2 linked regions of the Mus musculus genome follow. The protein of the gene in region 2 interacts with the protein of the main gene of each other region in a pairwise test. Links are inferred from orthologs where the notes say so. Each region holds a gene or a part of one and is shown on either strand. Other genes may lie near its edges. The genes, in order: Odam and Tollip.

Region 1 (8,371 bases), on a different chromosome or scaffold from region 2:
GACCTTCTTTTCCTCAGATTCCTCTCCATTTACAGCCCTGTAAGAAATCTTTTTATGATTTCTTATTTATGTTCTCATAGCAATGTGTATATAATTCTGACTTCATTCATCTAGAAGTGTTTTCTGGATTTTTTTTTTCTATCTGAAAGATACCCATGTTTTTAATAGACAAGCAAGTAGCTCCAAATATATTTTCAGAAATCAAAATTATGTATTTACTCACAGGTTCTGCTTGTGGTGGTGCGAATCCAAATTGATTATAGAAAGGTATCTGCCAGAATTTTGAGAAAGGTGTTAGACTTATTGTGATGATTTTTGACATAAATTTCTGAGAAATGATTACTTAAAATTACTTATCTTTTACATTAACCAAATGCTTTTGGAGAATCCACATGCTTTAGTTTCAAAATATTAACATTAAATGTCAAGATATCTTTTAATGCCAAATCATAAGAAATCTTAATTTACATTAAAATTCTCAGAAGTTTTGCTATGTTTGCAAAACTGAAATATAGTTATCAAATTGTGTCTTAGGTTCTAGTGACCACAAATATTTTTCTTAGCAATCTTTTATATCTTGATATTTTAAATATATTCACATATATGTCTTTATATTTAAGTGATGAATTCTTCTAGATTCTGAATGTGAGAAACATCAAATTGAGGGGAAAAATCAATTTTGAGCCTTATTTCATTAGAACCATTTGCTGATTTTACTCCTTATAATTATAGGTTTATTATACAGGTGTGCTAAGAGGAGAGCTACTATGTCCTATTCTGTGAGGTCAAGTGGTCAAGAACATGCACTCGATATTCTTAATTATTCTTTCTGCAGGGAAATTACCTTATTCTGAAATTGAACCACAGACTAAACCAAACCCTCACAGTACCTGTTCCTCAAATAGCTGCTGCCCTGTGTGCTGTGGTGAGGATGTGACGGTCTGAGGCTGCTCCCAGGGCAGAAGCATGTAAACTGGATAGTACTGAAACATCTGTAGACATGGGAGTACATGAGGGAGCCCATTAGATCAGGATGTGCAATGCTCTTCACTCTTTTACCATTGTTAATACTGTAAAGTTGGTTACACAGGTATGAACTACCATTCCCAGCAAATGTACTATGCATAGCAGATGTACAGTGCTTCTCAAATTGTGAAACAACTTGAACCCAACATGAAACAGGACTTCATTTGTAAGAATACATATTCAAACACGTTTGGCTATAATAGATTAAACTAAGGTAGGAAGCATGCCAAGAGTGAAAATCACCCATTAAGCCTTTAAAGACCTAAGAATGTTTGTCTGGTTGGGTAGAGTTTTAATATCTCAGGTTTAACATAGAGCTTAGGAGTTTATAATTCTAGAAATAGCCCACAAAGCTTTTGACATAAGCCTATGCAGAGAGCCACTGTATTAGTGGTTGAAAAGGGGGTAGAGGACTGACTTCTAACAGGCATTTGGTTCATAGGGTTAAGATACTTAATCTCATTAAATCTATGTTTCCTGGACCTTAAAATGAAGTAATTGTATTTGTCACATATCTGACTCACTACATACCTAAGGATATACAGTGAGATAATGTCTAGAATTGTGTTATTATGTAATGACAGTGTGAGTGAAACTTAATTACATAATTATACTTATAGAAGATCCAAGCAGAATAACTTTGTTTGAACAAGTCAACAGTCTTCATGTGAATCACAATTTATATATAGCCGTGTTCCTTTGAATCTGAGTTATTATACAATTGATTATCCTAATATTGACAGGGTTTCTATAGTCACATAATTTATTAGTTTAATATTAATTTTTTTCTTCCTGAAGAGAAATACTCATTTAATTATAATATGGAATTATATTTTAAATACTGCATAAAAGAGACTGGGAAAGTTTTCAGAGGAAATTTTATAATAGGCCAATAATGTGTGTTAGTGTTATTTATAATAATAAATATGATTATAATCATATATGCTATTTATAACTACACACCAGGTACAAATGCAAAATCATATGAAACAAAATTTGGGAAGGCAAAATGTCAACTCATGTTTTTATTTTTTAGCTCTTCCCCAGTGCTGGAACTTAAATACAGAGAAGACATGCTACTGGTCTTATTGAACTCATCACTTCCAGCATAGTTATGTCATAGGTATTCAAGGGTCCTAGAGACTCATTTCAGCTGCCTGTTTTTAAAAAAATCAGGTTAGGCCAACATCAGCAGATGCCCAAAAGCCACTTATGGTGCCTCTAGACAGTGGTGTGTGGTACACAGCCTTAACAGCCCTGATACTGGAAACCCAAGGGAACAAAAGGGAGTAAAAAGGAGAGTGAAATGAGCCTTTCTGTCTTTGTCAAGGAATTCTCTTCACTTACCTGTGTTTGATCTTGAGGTACTTTGACAGGTACCACATAGGACATCTGAGGAAAAGAATAGTCACAAAGTCATATAAGCAAATTACTCTTGACTTGTTATTTGCAATTCTTGGTTTGATTTCCCTAGATCTAGCTTCCCATGAATCATTTCATTAGCAATGCTCCATTAAAGTTTCTCTTCTACATGAGCTATAATTCATACAAATTCTGCTCCCACATGGTGTTTTAGTTCCTGGTTATTGACTATATTCTAGGGCAATTGGTTTTAATGTTATTTTTATGTTAAAAATCAGACTATATAAGGAGATACTTTCAGGGGTGGTTGCAATAGTAGAGGAGAAAACTTCATAAAAATCCTGTCATATTTTCAAGCTAATTCACAATAACCTTCATACCCTATCTGACAGCAGCAAGATGGAAGAAGCTTCACTTACAGGGCTAGCACTCTGCTGGGTCTGAGGTGGTGTCTGCTGCTGAGAGAGGTCTGGCTGGCCAGCCTGGCCTCCTTGGGCAAGTCCAACCTGTCTTGATAAAGGTATCTGATTTGGGAATAGTCCAGCAAAGCTCTCTAGTGTTGAGAGAGTAAACTGTGGGCGTCCTGAGACCTGAGCCTGCTGCTGCTGCAGAAACCCAGGGAAGGGAGGAATCCAGGAGTTGAAGGCACCCTGTGAAAAGCAAAGATAGAAGGCAATGGTTACTCTTTTATGAGAAAGAAAGGGAGAAAGGAAGGAAGAAAGAAAGAAAGAAAGAAAGAAAGAAAGAAAGAAAGAAAGGAAGGAAGGAAGGAAGGAAGGAAGGAAGGAAGACAAGGAAAGAAAGAAAGAAAGAAAGAAAGAAAGAAAGAAAGAAAGAAAGAAAGAAAGAAAGAAAGAAAGAAAGAAAGAAATTGAAATCAACCCCCAGTAAGAAAGGCAAAAAGAGAAGACAGCATCTCAACAACTAATAAATGTCACAGTTTTCAAATGATGAGAAACATGGAACACAAAGTTAATAAAACAGCGCAAGTTTCTGCAGATCTTTGACTGGAATCAAAAGACCTGCCCCCTACTCCTCATGGTTGGCTATATGTGGCTTGTTTAAAAAAATTAAGTGTGTCAAAAATCAACAGAATTACTATGTGGCACATAACAATTTTTTTTTTACAACTCCAAAGCTGCCCCCCTTCCAGTCTCCTCTCATTGAGTTCCTTCCCTCCCCCATCTCTCCTCCCCTTCTCTTCTGCAAGGATGGAGGCCTCCTTGATATCTCCCCACCCTAGTTCATCAAGTTATACCATTTTTTAAAACAAGTATAAGTAAATGCATTTTGTTCTCATCCCATACCATAAGAAATGCTCATTAGAAATATATTCCCTTTGAACTAAACCATTACATAGCAGTACCTGGAACTGCAGTGGCAAAAGTTGACCATTATTAAGATTCAGGAGTAGCTGGAAAAGGAGAGACAAGATGGAAACTAGATGACTATGCAGTCTGAAATGCTTTCTGTAGATAGAGTACAAGGCAGTGCTGGTTGATCAACTCTCAATTTGAAGGGCCACATTTCCCCAACAAGACTGCATTAAATCACAGTGATTAGATAAGTTAGAGTTGAAAGCAAGGCTTGGGTTTAACAGTGCCATTCCTACTGTGTACAAGAGTGCACAGTTTCGGCTCATCCCAGTGGCTTGGGTATTTTCTATGTTTATACATTGATTTTTGAGATCCACATAGGGAGCTATTGGAACAAATTGTGTTTGGGGAATTAGAAGGAGGAAAAACACTCTTTAACAAGGTACACAGGAAAACAGCCATGCAACTCGGGAATATGTTTAGAAATGTTTAATTTAAGGCCCATTGGACACACAAACTTTATATGCCCCAGAACAGGGGAACGCCAGGGCCAAAAAGGGGGAGTGGGCGGGTAGGGGAGTGGGGGTGGGTGGGTATGGGGGACTTTTGGTATAGCATTGGAAATGTAAATGAGCTAAATACCTAATAAAAAATGGAAAAAAAAAAAAGACCTACAGGGCTGGATGCAGAATTTTATCTCTTCCCAGTGTGTCTTCACATACAGAATGCAGGAGAATGTTTTAATAACTTAAACTAACCTCATGACTGTTGCTAGCAGACAATAGACGCTGCGAGATAAGCTAAAAAAAGAAAAAAAGAAACAAAGAAAAGCTGTGAAGCGGGGTAAATGCATGGGTTTATATGTAATCTGAAGCACAATGAAACACTTACCGGGGCTGATGATGAGGCTCCTATGAGTCCAAGAAGAATTATAATTTTCATTTTCAGATGGTATACCTATAGAGCAAGTTGTGACACATGGCTTTAAAAGAGACTTTTTGCTTAAAGTTTAATGACCAAAATAAAGACTGGCAAATTCATCAGACCACCTATCAAATCCAAGTAAACAGTTGATTCAGTTCTTCAAGTCTAATGTTTTACGGCTCAAAATAAAATGTTCTTATAATAACCATTGTCTCATTTTCTCTCAGTGTAGCTATTTATGGGGAAGAGCTGTTTGCTTGACCATAAAGTTCATTTAGTGGCAGGTGATTGTTAGGCTCTGACAGAAGTGAATGCCCTGTGGAGCCCCCTACCTGGAGTTTAACTGACTGGATTCTTATTATTAGGATGATCTTAATGTTCTTAGTGAAAAGGCATCATAACAAAAATCTAAGAATCCTAAGCAAAAGAGAAAAATTTCCACTAGAAGTCTAATACTGCTGATTATTAACTGTAGTGGTCATAGCACTACAAGGGACAGGAAAGGGAAATGGCAGTAGTGATGCATATCATAGCATAACTAGTGGACACTTCTTGTCTCCTGCCTCTACTTGAAGAGTTCCCACCATATTTCATATCCCAGACATAGACAAACAATAGAGTGCCCATGGTAGTGCATCAGAGCTGGGCTCTTAAACTACCAAAGCAAAGATTTGATATCTTACCTTACTTCTTTGCAAGATCTGTGCCCCTTTCTTTCTCAGTCTGCTGTTCAGATCCTCTTAAAATTTAAAACCCATCTTTAGAAAAAAAAAGGGACCAATCATGATTGAAAGGGACCAGTGATTCAGTGGGTTTTAGACAATGGCTTAGCTAATAACCCCTTTCCTAATCATCTTTGTGGTGTATGGATTCCCACACCCTAAGTAATGCCTTTCAATTACCCCAAAGACATTTTTCTGTGCTCGCTCCTGGCTTTTTCTTGGTCATGACTAACTCCCCTAGGCTAATTTTGTTCCACTCCTTTTTATCATTTTAAAAATGGATAACTTAAATAAGTAACCCAAAAATCCTTTACTAAATTCAAGACCAAATTATTGATCTTTTTAACTTTGAGAAAAAAATTCAGACTGAAGACAGAACACAGATATTAGTACATATTCAAAGCATGGTTGCTGACAAATATTATCCAGTGTTCTGATACTAGGTTGAGGTAAGATGAGGTGGATTGTCTTAAGTTTTTTTAAATTAAGTTTTAATTAATCTCATACACTATATCCTGGCCACAGCTTCCCCATCCTCCACTGTTTTCAGCTTCTCCTCTTCCCAAGATTCACATCCTCTCTGCTGTTCTTCAGAAGAGAGTTGTCTTCTAAGTGACATCAACCAAACATGGCAAAATGAGATACATTAAGACAAGGCAAAAGTCCTCTTGTCAAAGCTGGGCCAGGCAACCCAATAGGAGGTAAAGAGCCCCAAGAGCAGGCAAGAGTCAGAGACACGCTATTCCCACTCTAAGGATCATTTTTAGAGGTCATCACTTAAACCTTTTAACAACAATGGTGAATATCCTTCTTTTTCTAAAATAAAATTTTAAAAATCTGAATTTCTATATGTCTACGAAATGAATGACCTTAAGTTAATCAACATGAATCACAGTTTCTTACGGTTTCCGATATTGAAAGTATAACAGTATGATTAACTAAACATTATTTGAATTCATTTATTTCAAAGAATTGAGTGTTTATTCTGAGTGTCAATATTTTATATTCTAATGTTCTAGGATCACAAGTATTCTGATGAAAAATTATCAATTAATTTCCATTATGTGGGAATTACTTGGTTAATTTGTTCTTATCATGTAATGAAAACAAAAGCTAATGGCTTTCTAAAACAAAGTTTAATAAAAACTTTCCTAACAAAATGGAACTTAGAGTTTGAGCATTGGATATCTGTGCAGCAAATGGAATCCCTAAAAGTCTAAATCATTTATTAAAATAACATGACCTTTTATCATATGAAAGAAGAGAAGTTACCGCTAGGTTTTATATGTATCAAAAAAATCTCAACATTAGATATTTAGACTCTGCTAGAATGTGATAGCTAATATACTGAAACTCGGTAAAAAAAAAAAAATCTCAAGACTAGATATTTAGGCTATGTTAAAATGTGATAGCTAATTTACTGAAACTCTCTACTTAATATAATAACCATTCCAGGCTTAAAAATGTAGACAATTAATTAAGTGGTTAAACTAGATAGAAGGGTTTTTTTTCATATTTACACACACACACACACACACACACACACACACACACACACACATGATATGTGTATATAGACAGACTTTGGCTTACTTTTGAATATTTCCAAATTAAACTAAATATACTGTAAGTTAACAGTCACTTGAGAATTTCTGTTACATCCCACATGACCCAGGCAGCTAACCCCACTACTGAGTCAGAAATTTGCCAAGGATTTGAACTAAACTGAGATGGCAATATCCTGATGTGAATAGCTTCATTTTGCTTTACTCTTCAAGTCTGAAGATAATTAAGAGGCTTTATTTGAATTTTCCATTAGCTGACTATCTTAAAGAAAAGTAGTTGAGTGGCTGGACAGAAGGCTTTATGGTTAAAAGCACTTACCTTCTTCTCAGCACCTCACGGTACCTTCTCCAAAATTGACCATATAAACGGTCACAAAACAGGCCTCAACAGATACAAGAAAATTGAAATATCCCATGCATCCTGTCAGATCACCACAGACTAAGGTTGGTCTTCAAGAGCAATAAAAACAACAGAAAGCCCACAAACCCATGGAAGCTGAACAATGCCCTACTCAATGATAACTCGGACAAGGAAGAAATAAAGAAAGAAATTAAAGACCTTTTAGAATTTAATGAAAATGAAGGCACAGCATATCCAAATTTATGGGACACAATGAAATCAGTATTAAGAGGAAAACTCATAGCTCTAAGTGCCTTCAAAAAGAAACTGGAGAGAGCATACACTAGCAGCTTGACAGCACACCTAAATGCTCTAGAACAAAAAGAAGCAAATACACCCAAGAGGAGTAGATGGAAGGAAATAATCAAACTCAGGGCTGAAATCAACCAAGTGTAAACAAAAAGAACTATACAAAGAATTAACAAAACCAGGAGCTGGTTGTTTGAGAAAGATTTTTCTTTCTTTCTTTCTTTCTTTCTTTCTTTCTTTCTTTCTTTCTTTCTTTCTTTCTTTCTTTCTTTCTTTCTTTTTCCTTCCTTCTTTCCTTCCTTCCTTCCTTCCTCTCTATCTTTCTTTCTCTCTTTATCTTTCTTTCTCTCTCTCTTTCCTCTTTTTCTTTTGTTCTTTTGTTCTTTTATTGTTCTTTTTTTGTTTTTTTTTTTTGTTTTTGATTTTTGTTTTTTGTTTTATATATCAAATACAGTCTAACAGGACTAAAACTGAAAAAGGAAACTTGAGAAAATATCTCCATCAGATTGTCTAGTAGGCAAAAGATTATTGAGTATTTTCTTGGCTGATGATTTACTCTTGCAAGTGCCATCCCTGAACAGCTGGAATAAGAAATCAATCTGCACAAGATAATAATCATATTTCTTCACAACCTCTTCTTCAGTGCCAGCCTCCTCCAAGTTCATGTTTGATTTTCTGTCCTGACTACCATTGATAATGTACTGTAAGATATAAAATGAAATAAACTCTTTCCTCTCCAAACAAACAAACAAAACACTAAAAATGAAAAAAACAGAAACAAACCAAAACAACAACAACAAGAACAAC
Region 2 (7,699 bases):
TACCTTCTATCTTCTTGGCAGGAGAGGTTCCTCCTCACTGCTCCATCTTCCGTCAAGGAGCTTCCCATTAAACCATAACGCCAGACCTCCATAGATCACCTAGACCTGGCCACCACCATTTCTGCATCTTCTGAGTAACAACCATGAGGCCAGGCCAAAGGACAATAAAGAATCTCTGGGCTGTCATCCTTGTTCAGGGATGGACACTATCTTCCCCAGTCCTTGGGCCCTTACTCCTAATCCACTAGATATAAGAAGCAAGTATCAAGCCCAGTAGGTACAGATGAGGACAAGAGCTCCAAGCCACCACCCACAGCCCCAAACCTCCTTCTCATATCCTTACTATTCTCAGACACAGAAGGAGGAGAAAGGGACAAAACCAACCAACTAAACAAACAAACAAGAAGAAAGTAGAGCAAGAGGCAGAGGGTCAAGACAAAGGAGAAACTGTGTCCCCTCACTGGGCCTCCCATGCCAATGTCCTCTTTGGCTCTCATGCCTCCATTTTTTTCCCACTGCCCTTTGCTGTTTCAAGGAAACAAGCATATGACCTCCACAGCTAAGCTACAAGGAGACATCTTCCACCTGAGTTTCCTGATTGCCCTCAAAAAGCTGCATGCCTAACTGCTGGAACAGCCATGGGACATTACTGGCAGAGCCTGGAACTCATGCCTACAAGAACAGTGCTCCCATCACGAGTGGAGCCTGACTTGCTTGAAATCTGACGTGCCCGTGAACATCTATTTTCACACTCTACTCATGCTTCTACTGCTGGTGATGGCTCCCAATGGACACTGTCAAAGGAACTGAGAGAAAAAATCTGTAGCTTGTCATTTAGCCACTAAATGCCAGGTGTCCAGGCAGGTCACACCCTGTCACCAGTCACTAAATGCTAGGTATGTATACAGGGCCTGAGCACCAGGAGAACAGCTTCATGACTAAACCCACAAGGCACACTACAGCACACCCATGTCTGTCAGATCCCAAACTAGACAGGTCTGTAACACTGGGGCATCTCTCACCTCATCGAAGATCTCAAGGTAGAACGAGTCCACACCTGGGGGCACTGTGCACTGAATGACTTTGTTCCAGCGAGGGTTCTTGGCCCCATTGTGTGCTGTGGGAGTTTCATAAACAGCATAGCCCAGACGCAGACGGCAGTAAGGGTCCATACGAGTCATGCCATAATTCTTTGCCAATTTTGCCTGAAACAACACCAAATTTAGAAAAATGTGGCATTCACCAGCAGAGACAAAGGCCAGTGCATCTGTAAACTGCTTTTCTTACAGATATTTCCCAGTGTGTGAAAAAACAGCCTTCAAGTTCACCTAATCGTGTCAGTAACCTGCTCTTGAACATGCTGCCAGTCACTCCTGGACTCATGCCCCTGGAACCTAGCCATACCTGGCAACACCTGTGAGCAGTAAGACAAGACCTCTCCTCTGACACTGCACTGAGTGTGCGCATCCTAGGCCTCAGCACGGAGCTGAGGTTGAATGGGAAGTGCGGTCGGCAGAGCTGTTGTGCAGGAATGAGCAGCTCACTGCTACAAAGGGGCCATCAGGGAAAGCGTCCTCACGGAGTACAATGCCTGACATGGACCAACAGTATCTTAGGCAGATCCCTGAGGAATCAACAGGTATTACCAGATATTTTCAAGAATAACTAGAATCAAAAAAATTCTACTGTGCACATGGGAAATGAGATGCAAAGCCCCATGCCCAGTGCCTCCCCTTCTGCTCAATCCCACCAGTCTTCAACAGGAAACTAAGACCCACCTGTACCACAGTGATGCTGAGGCGACCCACGGTACCAACTGTTCCTCCATACTGCAGCTGCTGGGCTGCCTGGGCATCCAGCTGGATCTGCTGCTGCTGTTGTGTGGGTGTTATACGGAGGAAGTCCTGGGGGAGTTCACCAATGTACACCTTCCAGTGAGGAGAGAAAAAGAGTAGAGTCAAAGCAGAATGCCAAGCAATCTCAAAGTACTATCTGGCTTACCTTAGAGAGGTGTGTCACTCAGGCACAGTCCAGCTCTGCTCACCTTACCAAAGTTTAGAGAGTGTTTTGCTTTTTTTTTATTTTTTTAAACAAGAGATCCAGCCTCCCCTCATCTGAGCTCCCTTTCCCTGAAGACACACACCTTATTCAGGAGGTACTCAAGGCAAACCAGACCCTTGGAAGGTTAAGAATATATTTCAGGGGAGCAAAATACTCACAGGAAGAAATATGGAAACAAAGTGTGGAACAGAGACTGAAGGAAATGCCATCCAGAAACTGCCCCACCTGGGGATCCATCCCATATACAGTCACCAAACCCAGACCCTATTGTAGATGCCTGAAAGTGCTTGCTGACAGGTGCCTAATATGGCTGTCCCCTGAGAGGCTCTACCAGAGCCTGACAAATACAGAGGTGGATGCTTGCAGCCAACCACTGGGCTGAGCTTGGGGGTCCTTGATGGAGTTGGAGAAGGGACTGAAGGAGCTGAGAGGGTTTGCAGCCCCATGAGGGGAGCAACAGTGTCAACTGGCCAGACCCCCTGGAGCTCCCAGGGACTAGACCACCAACCAAAGACTACACATGGAGGGACCTATGGCTCCAGTCGCATATGTGGCAGAGGATCGTCTTGTTGGATATCAGTGGAAGGAGCAGCCCTTGGGCCCAAGGGGTGTTCGATACCCCAGTGTAGGGGAATGCCAGGGCAGGAAGACAGAAGTGGGTAGGTGGGTGGGTAAGCACCCTCATATAGGCAGAGGGAGGGGCGATGGGATAGGGGATTTCTGAAGGGGAGACCCGGAAAGGGGAAAACATTTGCAATGTAAATAAAGATATCCAATAAAAAATAAATAAAAAAAGAATATATCTCAGTCAGTAAAAAGGCTAGCTCGAGGGAGACCTGAAGTGCTCTAAGAAAGTAGAGTTTTTCAAGAAAAAGAGGAGAGCAAAGGAAAGGGGAAAGGTTAACCAAGACTCCTAATGGTGGCCCTGGCTAAGATTCATTTTGGAGTTTAACCACAGGACCCCTACTGCAGAGGAAGACCAACGAATACATGATGAACCAGGGCTTCCTGGGAAGAAAACACCAATTGGAAATGGTATACCTACCTGGGGCCCAAGAAGGGAGGGCTAAGGACCCTTTTGTAGCAGCTGAGATGTTAGCTACTTAGGACCAGTGAGGACAGCCTTGGGAGCAAGCATCCACAGCTTCACCCAGGATAACACAACAGAAGCCAGGACTGCTCCTTGCCCAGTGGGTACCAGTCTAAGTTACATAGAGAAAATACTCACAATTAAGGGACAGCTGAGGAAGTTCTGAAGACTGAAAGCCCACTGAAGAAGGACCTGAGCAGCAATCAGGTGCCTAAAGCAGTCCTACCATGCATGCTTGCCCAGAAGCACCAATGTCAAATGTGAGCTGTGACAGAGTCAATTTACTGAGACCTGCTGGGAACACTTGGTATCCAGGTTCTATGACACCCTGCCTACCTCCACTGCACACACTCCCACCTGTCCACCCAGCCGTGGGTTCCCACTGATATGCACTATGTACACTTCCACTTTCTGCAGGGTTTTCAGCTCCCAGCACCTGGGAAACTCCAAGGGGTTTGGGTCTTCTTTTCAAAGGTCCTTGAAAAAGGTAGGCATGGTGGCTCACTTTCACATTCCCAGCACTTGGGAGACTGAGGCAGAGAGTTCAAAGCCAATCTGAGCTACATAGTGAGTTCCAGGCCAGCTTGAGTTATATAGCAAGACCCTATCCCAAAAAATAGATCAAATAAATTAATAAAGGAAAGAAGCAAGCAAAAGTCACTGGATCCTCAAGTCTAGCCCCTTACTCTCTCCCCATTTCTGTGTTTCCAAAACATACAGACTAGTCAGATGTTCAGAACCAACCAAGGATACAGCCCAGAGTTCTCTGTGGGCCACCCTGATGATGTTCCCACTACGATCCTCTAACTTGAAAAAAGCATGTCACACTTATCTGTGAGTGGTGACTACTTAGCAGCATACCCCTCTGCACCTCTGGGGTCACTCAGAGTCCAGAACAAGGAGGGAGCTCAGCCCTCATAGGCAGAAGCTTTCCACAAAGTAGCTGTGGCCAGTGAGACTCATGGTTACCAAGAAAGGCAGTTTCCAATACCTGAAGCCTCCCTTGGATAAACAGCCTTCCCCACGGCACACCACAAATGCTTCCGGGGAGTCCAGAAGAGATGAGGAAGGGCTGTGGCTCGAGAAGACAGGAGCCAGTATCTACGGTATAGAGGAAACCCTGAGTCCCTCCCAGAGGAATTTCTGTCCCATACCTGTGTTAGTCTACAGTGAATTTCGAGGGTGCACCTCCACGATGTATACCCAGTTTTATCTATACATCATAAATAGGTTATTAGGCAAAAACAGATTTTCTTCAGTCAGGTTCTTGGGGTTAATCTATATAGGCCAAGTTCTCACTTGTCATAGGAACAACTATCAATTGTATGCCATATAGTACAGTTTTAGGACTGCAGCAGGACACACTGTGCCTTTGAAGGATACACATAGGAGGGTAAGCAGACCAGTGGATATCACAGTGATAAGTCAGGATATAGGCAGTCATGGGGGATCTTCAGGCATGGAGGTCAGGAAAGACTATGTGGGACAAGTCAGGGCTGTTTTTTACTTTGTATCTTATCATTCTCTTCTTGGGACTAGAAACTTCAGACATTGAGATTTCCTATTATACTCTTCCAGGCTTTCATTAAAGAGATAGAGACTGCTGGGGTGGGGTGAGATTAAGATAAAATGTGGATAGGATTGAAGTAGAGCTCTGCAGTAGAACATTTGCCCAGCATGCACAATGCTCTAATTCAAATGTGCTATTTTTCAATAAAGATCTAACCATAAAATTATAAATAGGAAAGGAAAGTTTTAACATTGTGAATTTAACAGTGTTAATGAAGAGTAGAAAAGCAACATTGTGGTAGAGAAAGCTAACCCATTCTGACTTAGCTAGGTGAGACTTCATCTAAGCCAAGGATGTTCTACAACACCCTCAACAATGTTCTTTCTCAAAAAACAAAACAAAAACAAAAAAACAAGGAAGCCTGAGATGTGGTCAAAGGCAAGGCAAGGTACTGGGAGGAGCCCATAGCAGTGAAGGGAACAAGCTGAACAAGCTGAATGTAGAACATGGACTGAAGCCAGTTTCGTGGCAGTGACATTGGTCCGTGAATATGACATCAAGGAAAATGAGATGAGAACTTTTTTCTATAGCTTTTCTCAAGTCACAATTTTACTAGAAAAAGTTTCACCTTAACCTAAAGAGGGAGCAGGGAGAGTAGGAAAGACGTAAGCCTGAGCCAGATAAACAAGGTGGTTATACAACCAATACTCTCTGTCCTGGGAGGGAAAGACAAGCCTGCCTGTTGCTGCAGGTCCCTGATGAGTTGTCTAAATGAGGACACCTCTTGCTATACCTAAAGGAGTCACCACTGTTAGCATAGTGAGGAATACTTCAAAACAAGAGATGAATTCAGGCATTGGTGCAAATTCTATAAAGTCACTGACAGCACTAGAAAATACCATCAATAAACAGCTATTTTTAGTAAAGTTTTAAAATACAGGGCTAATCCTAAGATGTATTTTTGCCATATACTGGTGGATGAAATTTTTGCCATATATTGGCCACATGAAATAAATTTTTATCATGGCTTAAAGACTCAGAAAAATTAAATGATGATTCTGTTAACAGACTCACAGTAGATCTTTTTTGCAGTTTATCTAAGAGTATAAGATGAATACTAACAAATGACTTCAAACATGTTGGTTAAGAGCCAACAAATTCAATTCCAGGCACGGGTCCCATGGCAAAGCTGCAAGAACATAGCATAAGTATGCTGGTTCCTTCAGGCCCAGGACAAAGGAAGAGCCACCAAGCAAAGCATCTCTGTGGCCCAGACTCACAACTGGCAAAAAGAATGAGATATTTCTGTGTCCCTAAAAGAATGAAAGGAATCCCTAGGACCCTGACCAAAAAAAGGGGGACAAGTAGGCAGGGCACAGTAGGCTTCAGCCTTGGCTCTGTGTAGCATTTGAGGGCAACTCAAACTAGGAACAGGCGGACAAATCTAGTAAATGAGGGCACACATAATGAATCTAATGAATTTAGAATCTGCAGCACAGCCCATGGGACTTCCCTATCTACAGAGAAGCTAGATGTCTCTCCTAGGGGTTGTCCAAAGGCATCTGGCCTGCCCAGCACAGAGAACCTATCTGCTAGCATGTCTGGGACACTGTAGGAACTCAAGAAGGTGCTAGTCTAGAGTTCAGCAAAAAAGATAGGCAGCGACACAGTTACTTCTACAGGTGAGTGTGCATACAAGTATGTGAGTTGCATGCATGCATCCATGTGTGTGAGGCTCTGGCACTGCAAGGCTAACGGGAGCAAGGAAGAATCCTAAAGCAGCAGCAGTTCATAGTTTAGAGTATCTGGCAGCTGGGCAGAGGTGGATCTACTGCCTGATGCCTTCCAGAGCCAGTGATCACAGGGATTCCTATGCACAAAACTAGCTGCTGCTCTCTCCCCACAGTCACTGCAGCCAGTCCTATTGGCCTTCATAGGTACCTGGCAACTTCACAACCACCTGAACCCAGCTCTTCTGCCTCTCTGGTGTCAAAGCAAAATAGTATCAGAAAAGGATTCGATCACAGAAATATGTTTTCTGAAAAATGAAAAACAATTCATAAGGACCTAGCATCTTACTAGTTCATGGTATTTCCATGAGCTGGGCCTGTTGCACTCTCCATGCATAAATCTGGCGCATCCTCATGAGCCCTGACAACAGTTCTATATTGTTCAATATATGGCGATCGGCCCTCAGTCAGGATGGAAACTGCACTTGAAAGGCTTTCAGTGGTTTATACTGAAACTCCAAAGAATGGAAGACTAGTAAAGGAGTGACGAGATGACAGCAGGGCAGGCATGCAGTGGACTGAGTGCCACTCCACACAGCCCTCAGGAACTACACTCAAGAGTTCTAAAAGAACAGCTTGAAAGCACAGCCAAGACCCTGATGAACAGACACAGGGGGATGAGGAAGAAGATTCACATCTCAGATCTGAACAAGCACTGACAAAAATGCTACTGCTCAAAGGAAGGGGAACCATCATATATGGCACAACCACACCAGGTGGGATGGGACCACCGGGTCACCACCAACTATGGTCTTTGCACAGACTGGGGACCACAGAGACACAACCAACTTTAGATCTGCAAGACTGTGTGTTAAAATTCCTGGGGTAACTCCCAAGAGAAAAGAAATAAACCATACATTTACCAAACTGGTAAAGAATTTACTACTTATTAAATACATTTTCAAAAATATGATTACTACTAATTACACACATTAAAAACTATTTAATGAATCAAAACAAATGCAAGCCTTAAAGTGTTAAATGTGTATATATTTATGCCATATAAAATAAAATAGGTTTCAATAGAAACCTGTACTTCTTAGATTTGACTTTTAAGGACACAGCTATATGTTGTTGTGGGTAGACTCCTCCTAAACATAAATGTTGAATAAAATGTAAAGTCAAAACATAAACGAAAGAAAGAAAAACCCTGTAAATATTTTTTAAAAGGAAAAACAGAGTAGTTACAAAATTGCATAAAATAAAAAGGCAAGAAGCCAATAGAGGTCACTATCTGGTCACCACAGC

Evidence for each region.
Region 1: the proteins of Tollip (region 2) and Odam interact in a two-hybrid assay, tested with the Homo sapiens proteins (2 studies listed by BioGRID and IntAct). The two-hybrid records come from large-scale screens. The link is inferred for Mus musculus from reciprocal best matches to the Homo sapiens genes TOLLIP and ODAM.

The regions. Positions count from the first base shown.
Region 1 is NC_000071.6:87,881,987-87,890,357, reverse strand, and holds the start of Odam (odontogenic ameloblast-associated protein precursor), read right to left. Parts: upstream 5,349-8,371; 5' UTR 5,312-5,348; intron 4,662-5,311; 5' UTR 4,647-4,661; coding exon 4,596-4,646; intron 4,505-4,595; coding exon 4,463-4,504; intron 3,803-4,462; coding exon 3,755-3,802; intron 3,039-3,754; coding exon 2,808-3,038; coding exon of another isoform or gene 2,769-2,807; intron 2,419-2,768; coding exon 2,374-2,418; intron 993-2,373; coding exon 891-992; intron 272-890; coding exon 224-271; intron 1-223. UniProt on the Homo sapiens protein: Tooth-associated epithelia protein that probably plays a role in odontogenesis, the complex process that results in the initiation and generation of the tooth. May be incorporated in the enamel matrix at the end of mineralization process.
Region 2 is NC_000073.6:141,890,962-141,898,660, forward strand, and holds part of Tollip (toll-interacting protein), read right to left. Parts: intron 1,929-7,699; coding exon 1,779-1,928; intron 1,206-1,778; coding exon 1,023-1,205; intron 1-1,022. UniProt on the Homo sapiens protein: Component of the signaling pathway of IL-1 and Toll-like receptors. Inhibits cell activation by microbial products. Recruits IRAK1 to the IL-1 receptor complex. Inhibits IRAK1 phosphorylation and kinase activity.